3 linked regions of the Danio rerio genome follow. The protein of the gene in region 1 purifies or fractionates together with the protein of each later gene. This does not show direct contact. Links are inferred from orthologs where the notes say so. Each region holds a gene or a part of one and is shown on either strand. Other genes may lie near its edges. The genes, in order: utp4, utp15 and wdr75.

Region 1 (5,377 bases):
AGTGCAGGACTGAATGGTGTGATAACAGAGTATGATCTTACAAACCAGAGGGTGAAATACACCATAGATGCGTATGGAGGGCCAATCTGGGCCATAACAGGCAATCAACAAGGAACACACTTGGCGGTAAGTTTGGTTTGTTTACTACGATCATGTATTCAATAATTCAAAAACATTAGACCCCATCTTCTGTGACACTTAATGTATGAATTCCATTGTATTACATAATGAATTTTGCTGACAGTTATTGAACTAATTTAAATCTGCAGTGGATTTACTCATGTTGAACAGCACTGTTGTCACTTGTAGGGCTAGTTATAGTAAAACTGACCAATTTTTGTACTTTTAAAGGGATAATTTCCCAAAAAGATAAAAATTCTGTCATAATTTACATTTTACTCGTAACAAACCACTTTTACTTTCTTTTGTTGAACACAAAAAGCTATTTTTAGGGAAGCTGGAAGCCTTTAACCATTGAACTCATAGGATTGTTTTTTTTCCTACTATGGAAGTCTGTGGTTACTGGCTTTCAGAATTTTTGTAAATATATTTTGTGTTCAACAGAATAAAGAAACGTATAAAAGTTTGTAATCACTTGAGCGTGAGTAAATTCAATTTTTTGGGTGAGCTAGATATTGAACATGGATATGTCAACGATGGCAATGTTTGCAAGAATTTAAATTTGTATTATTGATATACTGGGCTTGATTCACAGGATGTGACAGTATTATTATTTTAAACAGATGGAAAGGAAGCAGTAGTTTAATTATACAAATGTTACATATATTGTTAATTTGCTCATAAATTTAAGTTTGCAGCACTGGAGGGAAACCGTTTGTGTGGAATAAGGATATTTGTCAAAGAATCATCGATAAAGCTATATGTAAACAAACAAATAAAGATAATTTATTTTACAGAAAGATACCATAAGTAAAACTTTTGAAGTTTTTAAATCTTTATGTTTGCAGGTTGGTTGTGAAGATGGAACTGTGAAACTATTTGAGGTGACTGAAGACAAAATACAGTTTGAGAGAAATCTGGACAGACAGAAAGGTGAGATTGTTGTTCAGCCTCTGTTTTTCAGCCTCTGTTTCCACCTGCCATTATTGTCATTGTGTTCAGATGGGTTTCTTGTATGTTAGATTTCTTAGATTTTTCACCTTTCTCTCTGTTGAATGAACTATGTAATATGTTTTTGGGCGAGCAGAAATTTAAGTAAATTAAAATGATGTGCATGGCAACTACAATTTCAATTGTAATCTATGCAGTGTGGTGCAATAGAGCGAAGCTTGAGTAGCTTGTTTTGTTTATTTTTGGTGAATTTTGTATTAATCGTGATAAGTCAGTAGGCAAAGAGTTAGGTAGTCTATTGTGGCAAGTTTAAAATTCTATTGAATTCAAGTGTAATTGTAAACAATTAAATTTATTTTAACCACCTCTAAAAGTGCTTGAAAGTGAGTGAGTTTTGTATTTAACAGCTTTCATATAAAAACAACAATCTGATTGATGACAAAAAAACAGCTTAACATTAAGGCTGATTTATACTTCTGCGTCAAACGGCGCTGACGCATAGCCCTTCGCCATGGCCGTCGGCGTCGCTGACGTGCACCTCTCAAAAATTGTAACTACACGTTGCAACGGCGCGTAGCGCAAGCTCTGTGATTGGTCGGCTTGGTAGCGCTGACGAGTCTGGGCGGGACCAAGAGCCGCGCGAATGGCGCAAGCAGGACGCGAGCACAATGGAGCGATTGTTTACAACTGTGGAATCCTGTGAAGGAGCTCCAGATGGAAAGTTTTGTTTTGTGTTTACCTCATAGTTAAAGTTGTTGCACGTCCGCCAGTTCCTGCCTCACAATGAGCGAGTTTGAGCCACTTGTACATCCAGGAAGTGTTCAGGAAAAGCAAAACAGCAGAGAAGAAACTCGACACAGAGGAACATTAACACCTCACTGCCCACTAGCGTTTCGGAAGTGTTAATTCAGACCAACAGAGACAGCGCGCAGAAGTATAAATGCACAGCTACGCGCGTTGCATGCGCCGTGGGTCACGCCGGTCACTTGACGCAGAAGTGTAAACCAGGCTTTAGGTGTAAATGGAACATAAGGTACCTTATAGTCATTTACAGTCATTTTTTTCTGTGCTTATTGCTCAAAGCTTAAAGTGTATGTACATATCTTCATTTTTCTTGTTATTTATACATTATTTACTCTTGTAGTTACAGTAAATGCTATTTATAATGTGCAAAATGCCATAGTTGAATGCAGTTTAACCTTAAAACAGAAAAACTGCATTTTAGAACAATATCTGATTACTCTATTACAGGCCGGATTATATCTCTATCCTGGCACCCTTCAGGGTCCAAAATAGCAGCGGGAATGATGGATATGATCCAAGTTTTCAATGTGGAGACAGGTAAAAAGCATGGCTCTATTATTGAATATGTTGCATAAACTTGTGAGTGATGATGTCATCCAAAGTTTGATTGAATTTTAGGCCACTCTAAACATCGGATATTGGTGGACAGAGGGTACGGGACGTCCCGCGGTAAGGAGTGTGTAGTGTGGAGTGTGGTCTACCTTTCAGATGGGACCATCATCAGCGGAGACTCTGTGGGAATGGTGAAAATGTGGAGGGATGACACTGGTACACTGATCAAAAGCCACAATATTACAAAATCGGATGTGCTTTCGTTATCAGTGTCTCAGGTGAGAACATGGCTGCATGTTGATGTTACAGTATCACATTTATGACTTCAAATAGTACTTACCAAAAGTTTGAGATCGGTAAGATTTGAACTTAAAATAAATTAATTAAATAATAAAAAATATATAATGTTAATAAGAAAAAAAAATTATATTCCACAAAATAGTTCAATTAGTTTTATTGCTGAAATTTTATTAGAATTTATAACAACTTTTTCAAAATTATTTTAACATTTGCAAATGTAATATTTTGGTTTTAATGGAAAATCTTCTTTACTAAAGTCTTCAGTGTGACATAATCAATACAATTATTGGTTGTTAATTTAAAAAATGTTAAAATACAGTGTGATTTAATATTTTTGTGGGAAATTGGATCCAACTTTTTTGGGTTTAGGTGATGGGGAGGGGGGGGTGAAAATCTTTTATGAAAAGTAAATGAAAATAAAAAGCTTCATTTATTTCATAGAATTTATCAAATGAATCATTCTTGCTAAATAAAAGTTAAAATTTCTTTCAAAACACACCTTACTGATCACAACCTTTTGAAAAGTAGTATACGTGTACATTTTTGTTCAGTTTTACCTGACATGCTTTGGGAATACAGACAGAAAGCTGATTATTGTACCCTCTTGAATGACAGAATGAGGACAGTATCGTGGCTGGGACGTCAGAAGGATTTGTGGTGCAGTTCCAGTTTCTTTCTATGGTTTTGGAAAATAATGAGAAAGATTGGGTCAGAACCAGAACATTCAGGAACCACACACATGATGTTCGAGCTGTGGCTGAGATCACAACAGCTGTGGTTTCAGGAGGCGAGTTAATTTTTTTCATTTAATAGTTAAAACAGTCAATCTATCAGTTTTGTTTCAGATTCTGAAATGAGCAAATGCATTGTTCTCTTCTCAGGTATGGACACACAGTTGGTTGTGAGACCTTTGTTAGACAAGCATGAAGTGAAGTCATCAGCCTCTAAGCTGCGGAAGATTCAGTTTCCACATGTGAGTATTGTGCATTTGTGTTTTTTTCACATAGAAATGTTTGTAAATGACTCTTAATGTGAGGCTTTTTGTTCTGCCCTGTTGCATTAAAGAGGAGTTTGGTGTCCTGTGCAAGGAAGGCAGGCACGTTACTGTTCCAGTACCCTGGTCATTTGGAGCTCTGGAGACTTGGGGAGAGCGAAGGAGAAGGTGAAGATCATATTCAGTGCCATAGCAGATATCGAATACCTGGGAGACCCTAAGGGCTCTATTTTAAAGATCTAAGCGCAAAGTCTAAAGTGCATGGCGCAAAAGCATTAATTGTGTGTCTGAATTCACTTTTGTCTATTTTAAGGATGGAAAAATATGGTCTGTGCCCTGGTGCATCGTCTAAAAGGGTCATGTTTATTCTCTTAATGAGTTCTGGGTGTGTTTTGAGCATAACATGCATTAAACAATCAGAGTCTCATCTCCCATTCCATAAGAGTCAGTTGTGTCGCACAATGGTGCATTTGCTATTCACATAGCTGTGTTTTTAAGTGGAAAAGCTGAATGCTTCACTAGCGAAAAAACAGTTAAACAGATGATCTGCAGCGCATTATAAAGAACGAGCCTCCTCCATTCTGCCTCTTTTCTCGCCACTCCACTCATTCCACTGAAGACATCCATTAGCCTACTTATTTAATTTTATTTGTTAAGTGCAAAGATTTGTTTCAAAACTGTTTTTAAATTCAGTTCTAATTTCCAGCAAACAAATAAATGAACAATAATAACAAAGCGTGGTCAAAAAACTATTAGTTTTTGGAGTTCTATGCAAAGACGGGACTTATCGTTACTCCCCAAAACCGCACAGGTTGACAAATCTAAACTTGTTTTTATTAAAACTAAAATAAATATGCATATAATAAATAATACTGCTAATAATAATATTATACAAATGCAAATTGTCATGAATAAACTGAAAAAAGCCCCTCGAGATGAAGGCTTGGATCTAGTGGTTTTTACATTAATGTAGAAAATGCAAATTTTTATAACCTTTTAATCCTTTAGTTTTTTTTTTTTTATATGTAAAGATATTTGTGTATTGCTGTACATCCTGTGTGTATTAAGCAATGTGTTAGTGTTTGGACCCATATAGGCGCATAACTAATGCTCTCTGTGCTGGACTTTAGACCAGCTTTTAGTTGGTCAATGGTGCGGTCTATTTCAGTTCTTCAAAATAGCAACACACCAAGAATGCGCCTTAACACACCTTTATTTTAGACCGACACATCTATAAGTGCACAAAGTGGTGCAAATTAATTTGCTATTTAAACATCATGGTGCAAACATAAAAATTACTGTTGCTCTGGTCTGAAAACAGCAACAAATTGCGCCATACATGTCTTGTGCCTATTTCGCAGTGTATGATAGGGCTCCTAGTCATTCTCTACCATAATTCACAATAGAGGGAAATTATGTTTCATAGTAAAGTCATAAAACTATGAAATATGAAGTATGTTAATTAATACAACTACCTGAATATTCACAGCCAGTAAAATATTGTTTTAGTCATTTTAAAAACTCTTAGTTTTAATCAGCAAAGACATATTTGAGCAAAAGATGCTGTGAAGATATTTACAACTTTGCACAAAGAAAATGATGTAGTTGTTTTTCATCTTTAGTTCATCAAAGTATTCTATATAAGAAAGAAAGAAA
Region 2 (5,377 bases), about 7.8 Mb from region 1:
TTTATTGTGGTTTTTCCTCTAGCCTGATGATGAAGCAGTCGCTGTAGGAATGACCAATGGTGTGTTGAGCATCAGACACAGGAAACACAAAGAAGAGAAAGAAGCTTTAACAGGTCGAAGGAAACGCGGTCCGTCGTACCGCTTCTTTGTTAAGGGGAAAAACTTTGTGCCTAGACAGGTATTATATTTGCATTAATAATTTTTTCTCACTTTAACTTGAGTTTAAGAAATATAAGTTCAAAATATTATATTATATGATGCATGTATTACAAAATATATTATTTACACTCACCGGCCACTTTATTCGGTACACCTGTCCAACTGCTAGTTAACTCAAATTTCTAATCAGCCAATCACATGGCAGCAACTCAATGCATTTAGGCATGTAGACATGATCAAGACGACCTGCTGCAGTTTAAACCGAGCATCAAAATGGGGGAGAAAGGTGATTTAATTGACTTTGAATGTGGCATGGTTGGTGGTGGCAGACGGGCTGGTCTGAGTATTTCAGAAACTGCTGATCTACTGGGATTTTCATGCACAACCATATCTAGGGTTTACAGAGAATGATCAGAAAAAGAGAAAATATCCAGTGAGCGCCAGTTCTGTGGGTGCAAATGCATTGTTGATGCCAGAGGTCAGAGGAGAATGGCCAGACTGGTTCCAGCTGATAGGAAGGCAACAGTAACTCAAAAAAAATTCACTCATTACAACCGAGGTATTCAGAAGAACATCTCTGAATGCACAACACTGGGTGCCACTTCTGCCAGCTAAGAACAGGAAACTGAGGCTACAATTCACACAGGCTCACCAAAATTAGACAAAAGAAGATTGGAGAAACATTGCCTGGTCTGATGAGTCTCTATTTCTGCTGTGACATTCGGATGGTAGGGTCAGAATTTGGCATCAACAACATGAAAGCATGGATCCATCCTGCCTTGTATCAGTGGTTCAGGCTGCTGGTGGTGGTGTGATTGTGTAGGGGATATTTTTCTTGACACACTTTGGGCCCATTAGTACCAATTAAACATTGTGTCAACGCCACAGCCTACCTGAATAATGTTGCTGACCATGTCCATCCCTTTATAACCACAGTGTACCTATCTTCTGATGGCTATTTCCAGCAGGATAACACACCATGTCATAAAGCACGAATGATCTCATACTGGTTTCCTGGACATGATGATGAGTTCACTGTACACAGTCACCAGAGCTCAATCCAATAGAGCATCTTTGGGATGTGGTGGAACGGGAGATTCGCATCATGGATGTGCAGCCGACAAATCTGCAGCAACTGCGTGATGCTATCATCTCAATATGGACCAAAATCTCTGAGGAATATTTCCAGTATCTAGTTGAATCTATGCCATGATTAAGGGAATTCAGGAGGCAAAAGGGGGTCCAACCCCTTGTATTAGTAAGGTTGAAATTAGTAAAGTGGCCAGTGAGTGTATGCTTTTTAGGGGAAAAAATTATATTTTATAATTGAAAATTTTTTTAGATAAACATTTTACTTTTTTTTTTTTAATTACTAAATCAATTTTCTTAAGGCTTGTTTACACCAACAAATAAAACAAGAAACATATTAAATTTATATTATCATCTACACTAACTCTATTCTCATCTCTTTTAGGATGATTTCCTGGTCAGTAAACCAGTGAGGCAGCATCTACAGAAATACGACAAACAGCTGAAAAGATTTGAGGTCTCCAAAGCCCTGGACACTGCGCTTGAGGTGAACATGAAGCTTTATATACAATAATATCTAAAAAAAAAAAAAAGTACATAAAGTTGCAGTCAGAATGATTCGCCCCCTGTGAATTGTTTTTCTTTTTTAAATATTTTGCAAATGATGTTTGACAGAGCAAGGAGATTTTCACAGTATGTCTGATAATATTTTTCTTCTGGAGAAAGTTTTATTTGTTTTTTTCAGCTAGAATAAAAGCAGTTTTTAATTTATTAACAAACATTTTAAGGTCAATATTATTAGCCCCCTCGAGCAATATTGTTTTTTGATTGTCTACAGGACAAACCATCGTTATACAATGATTTGCCTAATTACCCTAACCTGCTTAATTAACCTAGTTAAGCCTTTAAATGTCACTTTAAGCTTAATACTAGTATCTTGAAAAACATCTAGTCAAATAATATGTACTGTCATCATGGCAAAGATAAAATAAATCAGTTATTAGAAATGAGGTATTAAAACTATTACGTTTAGAAATGTGTTGAAAAAAATCTTCTCTCTGTTAAACAGAAATTGAGGAACAAAATGTACGGGGGGCTAATAATTGTGACCAAATGTGCTTATTTGGTTTGATTACTCAGATGAAGATATCAGTGTATGTTTTTGTGTTTTCGCAGACATGGACGCGAACTACTAAACCAGAGGTGACGGTCGCAGTAATAATGGAGCTGAACCGCAGAGGAACACTGAAAAACGCCCTCGCTGGGCGAGATGAAGTGAGCTTAACCAAGATACTCAACTTTCTTCTCAAGTGAGTATCACACACACACACACACACACACTTCTATATGTGGTTTACAAGGATTCTTCATAGGCATAACAGAAAGAAGGTTTTTGTCAACACTTTTCTTAACATAATAGTTTTAACTTATTTCTAATAACTGATTTCTTTTATCTTTGCCATGATGACAGTACATTAATATTATACTAGATGTTTTTCAAGATACTAGTATTAAACTTAAAGTGACATTAAAAGACTTAACTAGGTTAATTAAACAAGTTATTGTTTAACGGTGGTTTGCTTTGTAGACAATTACAAAAATGTAGCTTAAAGAGGCTAATAATATTGACCTTAAAATGGTTTTAAAAATATTAAAAACTGTTTTAATTCTTGCCAAAATTAAACAATTAAGACTTTCTCTAGAAGAAAAAATATTATCAGACATACTGTGAAAATTTCCTTGCTCTGTTAAACATCATTTGGGAAATATTTAAAAAAGGAAAAAAATTCACTGAAAGTCTTACCATTCTGACTTTAATTGTATGTATACACACACACACACACACACACACACGCATTACTTCAGACTTCAGAGTCTTGCGAACATTATACTCACTACAATCAGCTTCCTCCATTATGCGTGGCTTGTTTACTGTTGGTTGCTAGGTTACCATACTAAAGTTACCATACTACATACTACTTGATAGGTTACCATATTACAGTCAGCCACTCTAATGCTGCGTTCACACCAGACACGGAGGAGTTAATGAGCTCACAGGGCTGGGTGCACCTCTGAATGGATCTAGTAAACTCCGACACGGCTCCAAATGAATTGATGCTGTTTATCCGCCTTCCTAAAGCACATAAACACAGCTACTCTCTCATTAAAATCAATGTTCGCCATTTAGCAACTAAGCTACAGTCACCGGGCAGACAGATGCTCCGCCCAAGTTATATTGCTCAGTGAATTTGACGCACGAATGAAATGGATTTGACGCGTGAATAAATCAAGTAAACTCAATGTTTACGCGCAAATTGACAATTTATCCACCCATACCACGTATTCTAGTGTGAACATAGCATAACTTGATTGAAGCGTCTAATTCAAGATATTTCTTCTTTTTGTTTTCTCTCATTGGCCAGATGTTATTGAACATATTTCCTAAACTGCTTATTGATTTGTTAGATTTCATGTGCGGGAAAATGCCAATGAACTCCCGCCAGTAAACAAAACCGGCGGACACTAAATGTCGTTTCTACTCTGGAGGGACGACTGCGCTGACTGATTGCATCCCTGCTTTAGACAAACTATACATTTTGAGAATGAAGCGCGGCTGCGGCTTGAAAACAGTGTTTTAATGCATCGCTCGTCACTTCAGGAGGAGGCGTGAGTTAATTTAGCTAAACTGCGACATGGTCATCTTGCGTAAATAATACCAATGATCCATCAGGTAATGTTTTCCCCTCTCTCTCTCTCTGTTGGTAAAGCGCTGTCAACAAATATTTTTCCTCCATATCCCATAATGCACAGCGCATCGGTCTACGGCAGCTGGATTAGTGCAAAAGGCGCAGTACTTTTTGCCTTGTCCAGATGTTCTGTGAAATGCAGGATGTTCAATTCTTGTGACAAAACCAGAACTTCTTAGAAAGATCAAAGCAGAGGGAAATTCTGAGGCGGTTCTCAAATCTGTGAACTGCTTCACACAACAGAAGAAAACCACCATTGTCACCAGTGTCCTGAACACATTTATGCCATTTAAAGTACCTAAAGTAAAGTTTCAAGTACCTGTCAGTTTTGATTTCTTTGGGAGTTTTTTCTTCAATCTATTATAAAGAAAACATTTAAATGACACTTTTAAGAGTTTCTTTTGTCACACTTTTTATTAATTTGTGTCTGTAGATTTCAATTACAATACACATTTTAAAAGCTAGTTTTTGAAAAAGATCTTTTTTTGGTCACTTTATTTTAAGCTACAATTTTTGCCATTTCCAAACCATTAACTATGATTTTTATGTAAGTAAACTACTAATTTGCTGCCTATTAATTGTTGGCAAGGTAGTAGTTGGGTTTAGGTATTGGTAGGATTAGGGAATCGGGATGTAGAATAAGATCATAATCTTAATGACTGGCAGCTAGCTCTCTGCAACTCATGGTCGCCCACTGAAACCAAGTAGGGCTGCGTCCTGGATGGGAGACCACATGGGAAAGTTAGGGGGGTGCTTTCACTCTTTGTTCAATTGCCTGCACTGTACCCAAGTTCGATTGTCTCCCCTTGCCACCTTCTCGGTTGGTTTGTGTTCACACCGTCTTTTTTCCTTCTGAAGCCCGGTACGCTTGCGTCATCAAACTGCTGTTTTGTTTACGGCCATTGCTAAGTGACAGTCACGAAAGCAAACCGATGAAATGGGAAGATATCCGCACATCGCGGTCATTCTGCTTCAACTGAAACTTTTGGTTTTGAACATAGAGACAGTGACTCGCGTCCATCTGCTGCAAAAATTTTATAAACATTCAGAACATCACAGAAGCTGCAGAAACGTTTTTGGAGGAGACAAGCACACACTGTGTATTACTGTATTTGCCCTGGCTCAGTCCGCACGTGTCGCCAAGGTACGAAACGTGACACAGACACACGCACACACAAACGAACGTTATGAAAACCATAGTTTGTTGTACAGTTGGCGGTGCACCTGAGTTCAGAACACACGTTCACACTAGCTAAACGTACCGCACTATGACATCAAACAAACCTGTTTAGTTAGCGAGACCAGTTAAGGGGCACTAAACCTGCAGTTTGTGTGAGTTCTAATACCCCAGTATATTGATCGGGACTCTTTACTACTCAGCGAGTGCCATCTTTCGGATGAGAGGTCAAACCGAGGTCTGTGGTCGTTAAAAATCCCAGAAT
Region 3 (5,377 bases), on another chromosome or scaffold:
CAGAAACTGAGACTCATCAGACCAGGCAATGTTTCTCCAATCTTCTAGTACAATTTGGGCGAGCCTGTGCGAATGGTAGCCTCAGTTTTTCGGTTTTTAGCTGACTGGTGTGGCACCCGCTGTGTTCTTCTAGCGCTGTAGCCCATTGTATGTTTTCCTATGATGTCAAAGCTGAATTTTTTTAGCATCATCGCTCCAGTCAGTTATGCAGTCCTTTAGAAGTCGTTTTAAAATGCTGATCTGATGCTCAAGAAACAAGTTTGGCCTAATTTTAAAGCAATTGTAATACTTTTTTGTCATGTTTTGTGATGAATAGAGAGTTACATAGAAAATCTTTTTTTTAAACACTTTTGTAACACTCAGAAAGCCTTTACTGTCTCCTTTAATCAATTTATATAGATGTTTTGCAGAATAATCCCCCTTATAATGGCAATAAAATGGACTTGCCTGTTTGATGGTGACCGATCCCTGTGTGTGTTGAGGTTTGTCTGCTGGTTCTTGAGTCTCTGTGTTGAGTTTGTGCTGCTGTTTCCGGTGTCTGCCCAACAGCAGGTAAAACGGTGTTACAGCAACACTCTCATCAATCACAAGCTGCACCAAGGAGAGACACAGTTACTCTTAGAGCCATTCACAATTAATGAGCAGAATGGAGGTGTAAGGTTAAAAACAACAACAAAAGTCCATACCCGCTTACTAGAAGACAACATTCTGTCCTCTTCTGTTGCTGAGCTGAAGGTCAACAAATCCTAATAAATTGAACACAGACCATTTTAGCCAGAATGTGAGTATTTAGTATTAACAGTATTAATTATGAGTAATATTTCATAGAGAAATAATTATAATAATTATATGCAATTACAATACAAATTTGTATATTTTACTTGACAAAAGAAAACACAGGGTTCCACATTATATAAAATAAGCCATATATATATTTATTTATATGAAGAGTTCAGACGCAAAAGCCGCTTAAGGCCACTTCTTTTTTTTTTTTTACTTTTGTTTTTTATTCGTTTTAACATAACGGAACAAACAGATAACCAGAGGCATCACATACAACTATTACATTCTTCTTATACAGTCGTTTTTATAGTACAGGTTACTCTCCCATTAGCCCCCCACTCCAACCCGCCCGTAAAAGGTACTGTATTATAAGCATAAACACCAACATAGTTTCCTTCAAGTCCACATGATTTAGTCTTTTACAATCTGTAATGTGCGGTCCAAACAAAATATTTCACATATATAATATACATATACATGTACATATATTGAAAAAATAAGTAATAATAAAAATAACAAATATAAATAAATATAAATAAGGGGAGGAGGGGGGTTCGCACTCATAGCAAAGCATTTCCTAGCAAATTATATATTTTCTGTATTAAACGCCACTTCTGCCAAAAATGAGCTTATGACATTGAGTGAATGCTTTAGGCACGTAGTACATGTTCAACAAATAGTTTTGCTTGAAATCATCTAAATCGCAGCATCAGCGCATTCAGAAGTAACAGTTTGTTTACACCACCTGCCTTTGACAGCAAAAGCCGCTACATCTCAAGAACCATAGAAGGTGCGAATCAAATCACGTTTTCAATGCAGCAGCGTGCTGATACGCCGGCTTTATGAGGAGAGTGTTTTATTTAGCTTCCGATTAAGATTCTAAATAACAGAGCTTGATGAACTGGATGAGCCTCTCCAACTGTCAGTGAATGGCAAATGAAAACGTCTCTTACCTCAAAACTCTGTGCATTTTAAGAAAAAGAAAACATAATGTACAGTCAGAAGTGTAGCTTGCATTCATAAAGTTTTTTGCGCAGCGATACTACTTTGAATGAACTGCATTTCATAAAAGACAGAGTTAAGAGGCTGTTCTTTTATCCCACATGGATGCCATGAGGATAAACGAGATGAAAAGGAGACCAAGACAGTGATTATGGTGAGAACGAATGACAGCTTCAAATAGTGTCTGAGAGGCATCCCCTGTTTGCTCAGTAGGCCTACCATGTGTTTTATGTTCTAATATAAGCTATTTTTTTTTAAAGACAAATATAATGTATGAAACTATACTTTTTTGTATTACTTCATACTACATAAACGCCAAACAAGCTTTTTATATTAAAGGACAACGCACAGATATCAATGTTTCACAATGTGTTTACATAATTTGAATCTAACAAGCTTAGTGTAAAATATTTGCAATGTTTACATCGCTCTACTTACAATAAAATAAATAAAATAAATAATAATAAAAAAAAAAACAACAACAACAGATAGTTAGGATTTAATTAATGTTTATTTTAATGTTATTGTTTTGATTCATTTATTTTCCTTTAGTCTCTGGTTTATCATAGGTTACCACAGCGAAATGAACCGCCACACACTTGACAGATTTATATATTTTAAGTTTTAGATGGTCTTTGTAATGTGTTTTATGTTTAGTAAAATAATTTATACTTGCATCTTGTGATTTTTCAACTGATTGCACAGATTGTCCCAATAGATGGATTTAGAGGTTATGCAATAAAAGCAGACGTGGATTTAGCTGGATTTGACACAAAAGAAAATGTACCTTGTTAAAAACCAAAGAATTGTCTAAAGGGACATTTTTTGAAAAAAAAGAGCTATTTGTATATCCCAACTAATAACTTTCATTATCTATAAAATGAAACTTCTGAGCCTAATTATAGGAGCCTGATAGAAAATGCCCATTTACAAGAAAAAAGGTCTAATGGATTTAGAGGGTTTTGCATCTGAACTCATAATTTATATACATATACATGCATACACACACACACACACACACACACACACACTTTATAAAATGTGCAACCCTGTGTTTTTTAATGTCGAGACCCCTTCTTACCTTCTTTGTAAATGAAACCCCCCTATTTTTTATTTATATTCTTCTATTATTAATTAGCATATTTTTTGTTTGTTGGGATAATTGTAATGTTATAGCTGCTTAAATATCTGTATTCCATTATTATACTGTATGTTTAAAACCAGCAGATTATACTATATATTTTACGCCATGCACTTATTGTTATCCAAGTATCAGCTTAATAATAAAAAAAAAGGACATGTTTTGACTCTAGGTATGACTGAAGTACCATGTTGTGTGTGAGGAAGTAGAGCTGAGATCTGTTGAGCCACTGACAGCTTTCATCACAACTGTTGAACGGCTCTTCTCGAGGAACAAACACGGCTCGATCCACCCTTTCTAGACACACGTATCTCTGGCTGAACAAAGGCCGTGGCTCGCTGGGCTTGAACACAAACACTGAACACACACCAGAGAAGACATTAAACAGCAGCTTGTGATCAATTAAAGGCGTTTATGCTCTTGTCAATTTTCAGATTTCTGCCATTTTCAGTCTAATGCAAAGAAAACATCCATAATGCACTTTAATGCGTTTCATTTGTCACACTTTATCAAATTGTGTCTGTATTTTTGTATCCTAAATTATTACAATACATTTTATTAAAGGTTTGCAGTTTCATCATCTATATTTTGAAGGTTATGACACAACATTGTTCATTTAAATTTTAGCTAATTGTACAACACATTATTGATTTTATATTTTATTTTTACTGAATTATAAAGTGACAAAAAGAGATTTCCAAAAGAGCACCAATAAAAAAAAAAAAAACACACATTACTTCTAACCAAACACTAAAGAGATGTAGGTGATGACCTTTAAACACTTACGGTGTGTGTGTTTAGACTCGAATGAAAAAGCGGCCACATTTTCTGACAAAGGGTCCGACTGCAGCCTGGAAACATCCACAGATGTGCTCCATTCCACTGTGAACCACCGAGATGAAACCAAACAGTGAATAAAACCAGACATAAACTTACTTGGTTACCCACAGAAAATAGTGCTTCACCTTAAATAATAGTCCTAGCATCATTAACTCACTGTCATATTATTTCCAGTGATCCATAATATATTGGCATTAGCCATTAAATGCTTAGATTAATCATAATCAGTCTGCTAAGAAAACTTAATAGGCTCATAAAAGTGATTTCAACTTTAGAGTAGAGGTCTGTGCAGGATTTTTTAGTCCTGCTCCTGAGAGGTTTTATTCCACACCCGACCGCTCCAGCTGTATATTCAGTCTTTATTCAACTGCTGCCAGCCTAGAATAATTTTCTACTAGACCTGACCGTTCTTGCTAAATTTACATCCGGTTTCCAAACTCTCACGATAAAACTGGGTACTACCAAAAGAAAGAGATAACAGATAAAACTTTGGATTGTGCAAGGATAGTAGGGTAAATGTCCGTTTAGTTTCATGAGTCTCATTACAAAGCGGCCTTAAACCTGAGGTTCCAGTCTTGTGATTTTTAAAGGGTAAAACTGTGAGGTATTATCACATCGTGCAAAGGGTGAATTTTTCCATTTGCATCTATGAAACATCAAAAAGACTCCCATACATCAGACTTGCCTGATGTGGGTTTTAAATAAATTAAATTCATGTTTATTTCTATAGCACTTTTACAACGTAGATTGTGTCAAAGCAGCTTAACATAGACTTTCTAGTAAATTGAAACTGGGTCAGTCCAGTTTTTAGAGTTGAAGTTCAGTTCAGTGTGGTTTAAATTTCCCTGCTGAAAGTCCAAACACTGAAGAGCAAATCCACCGATGTCCCAAACCAAGCAAGCCATTAGTGAGGAACAAACTTCACCAATTGACGAAGTGGAGGAAAAAAACCTGGAGAGAAACCAGGCTCAGTTAGGCACGACCATTTCTCCTCTGGACAATTCTTGTGCAAAGATCTAGGCAGTCTAGGCAGCAGAGGCTGGAGAACGCTGGACGTCCACTGTGGAGAGCCGCAGGTGAGTTCAGGCTGGCCCACAGGATCAAGCGGAGTCTGTCACAGGGCTCTTTCAGAGTCTCATGCTCTTCACTCTTCTATGACCACCACAGCATCAGCTCAAGATACAACTTAGTCCAGGATTATGGATGGCATCATTTCTTCAAAGGTCTTTGCTAACAGTAAACTGACCGTTTTCTTAATGCAAGCAGAAGGTCAGCGCATCTTCAGTTTGCTCTACAACGTTGGTGAAGCCCGCTCTGATGCACGCACAGACTGTGCAGGAAAAAAGCATGTGCTTTCAATAAGAAAGAGGAAATCACAGATATGCCATTCTGAAATAACGTTGGGACTTGAGAATGCTATATTGTTATACGCCCTCTCCCGTTCAAATTACACCAGAGTTACCGTCCGCTACCATGTTTTATTTGGAAATTTGCAGACCTCTACTTCAGAGCATGTTAGAGGAGTGTAGGCATGATGGAAGACAAAACATTTTCAATGTAGGTTTTTGACTTAGAAGAAAATTAAAACTTTGCAATTGCAATTTGTAAATG

Evidence for each region.
Region 2: the proteins of utp4 (region 1) and utp15 purify together in Homo sapiens (co-immunoprecipitation; 4 studies listed by BioGRID and IntAct, counting the BioPlex papers as one, with this or other methods). This does not show direct contact. The link is inferred for Danio rerio from reciprocal best matches to the Homo sapiens genes UTP4 and UTP15.
Region 3: the proteins of utp4 (region 1) and wdr75 purify together in Homo sapiens (co-immunoprecipitation; 3 studies listed by BioGRID and IntAct, counting the BioPlex papers as one, with this or other methods). This does not show direct contact. The link is inferred for Danio rerio from reciprocal best matches to the Homo sapiens genes UTP4 and WDR75.

The regions. Positions count from the first base shown.
Region 1 is NC_133193.1:15,974,281-15,979,657, forward strand, and holds part of utp4 (U3 small nucleolar RNA-associated protein 4 homolog), read left to right. Parts: coding exon 1-126; intron 127-968; coding exon 969-1,053; intron 1,054-2,322; coding exon 2,323-2,412; intron 2,413-2,493; coding exon 2,494-2,705; intron 2,706-3,342; coding exon 3,343-3,514; intron 3,515-3,608; coding exon 3,609-3,700; intron 3,701-3,792; coding exon 3,793-3,889; intron 3,890-5,377. UniProt on the Homo sapiens protein: Ribosome biogenesis factor. Involved in nucleolar processing of pre-18S ribosomal RNA. Part of the small subunit (SSU) processome, first precursor of the small eukaryotic ribosomal subunit.
Region 2 is NC_133193.1:8,205,667-8,211,043, reverse strand, and holds part of utp15 (U3 small nucleolar RNA-associated protein 15 homolog), read left to right. Parts: intron 1-22; coding exon 23-178; intron 179-1,633; coding exon 1,634-1,735; intron 1,736-2,364; coding exon 2,365-2,498; intron 2,499-5,377. UniProt on the Homo sapiens protein: Ribosome biogenesis factor. Involved in nucleolar processing of pre-18S ribosomal RNA. Required for optimal pre-ribosomal RNA transcription by RNA polymerase I.
Region 3 is NC_133184.1:42,851,250-42,856,626, forward strand, and holds part of wdr75 (WD repeat-containing protein 75), read right to left. Parts: exon of another isoform or gene 3,809-5,377; coding exon 3,713-3,808; intron 3,284-3,712; coding exon 3,114-3,283; intron 747-3,113; coding exon 687-746; intron 592-686; coding exon 448-591; exon of another isoform or gene 1-447. UniProt on the Homo sapiens protein: Ribosome biogenesis factor. Part of the small subunit (SSU) processome, first precursor of the small eukaryotic ribosomal subunit.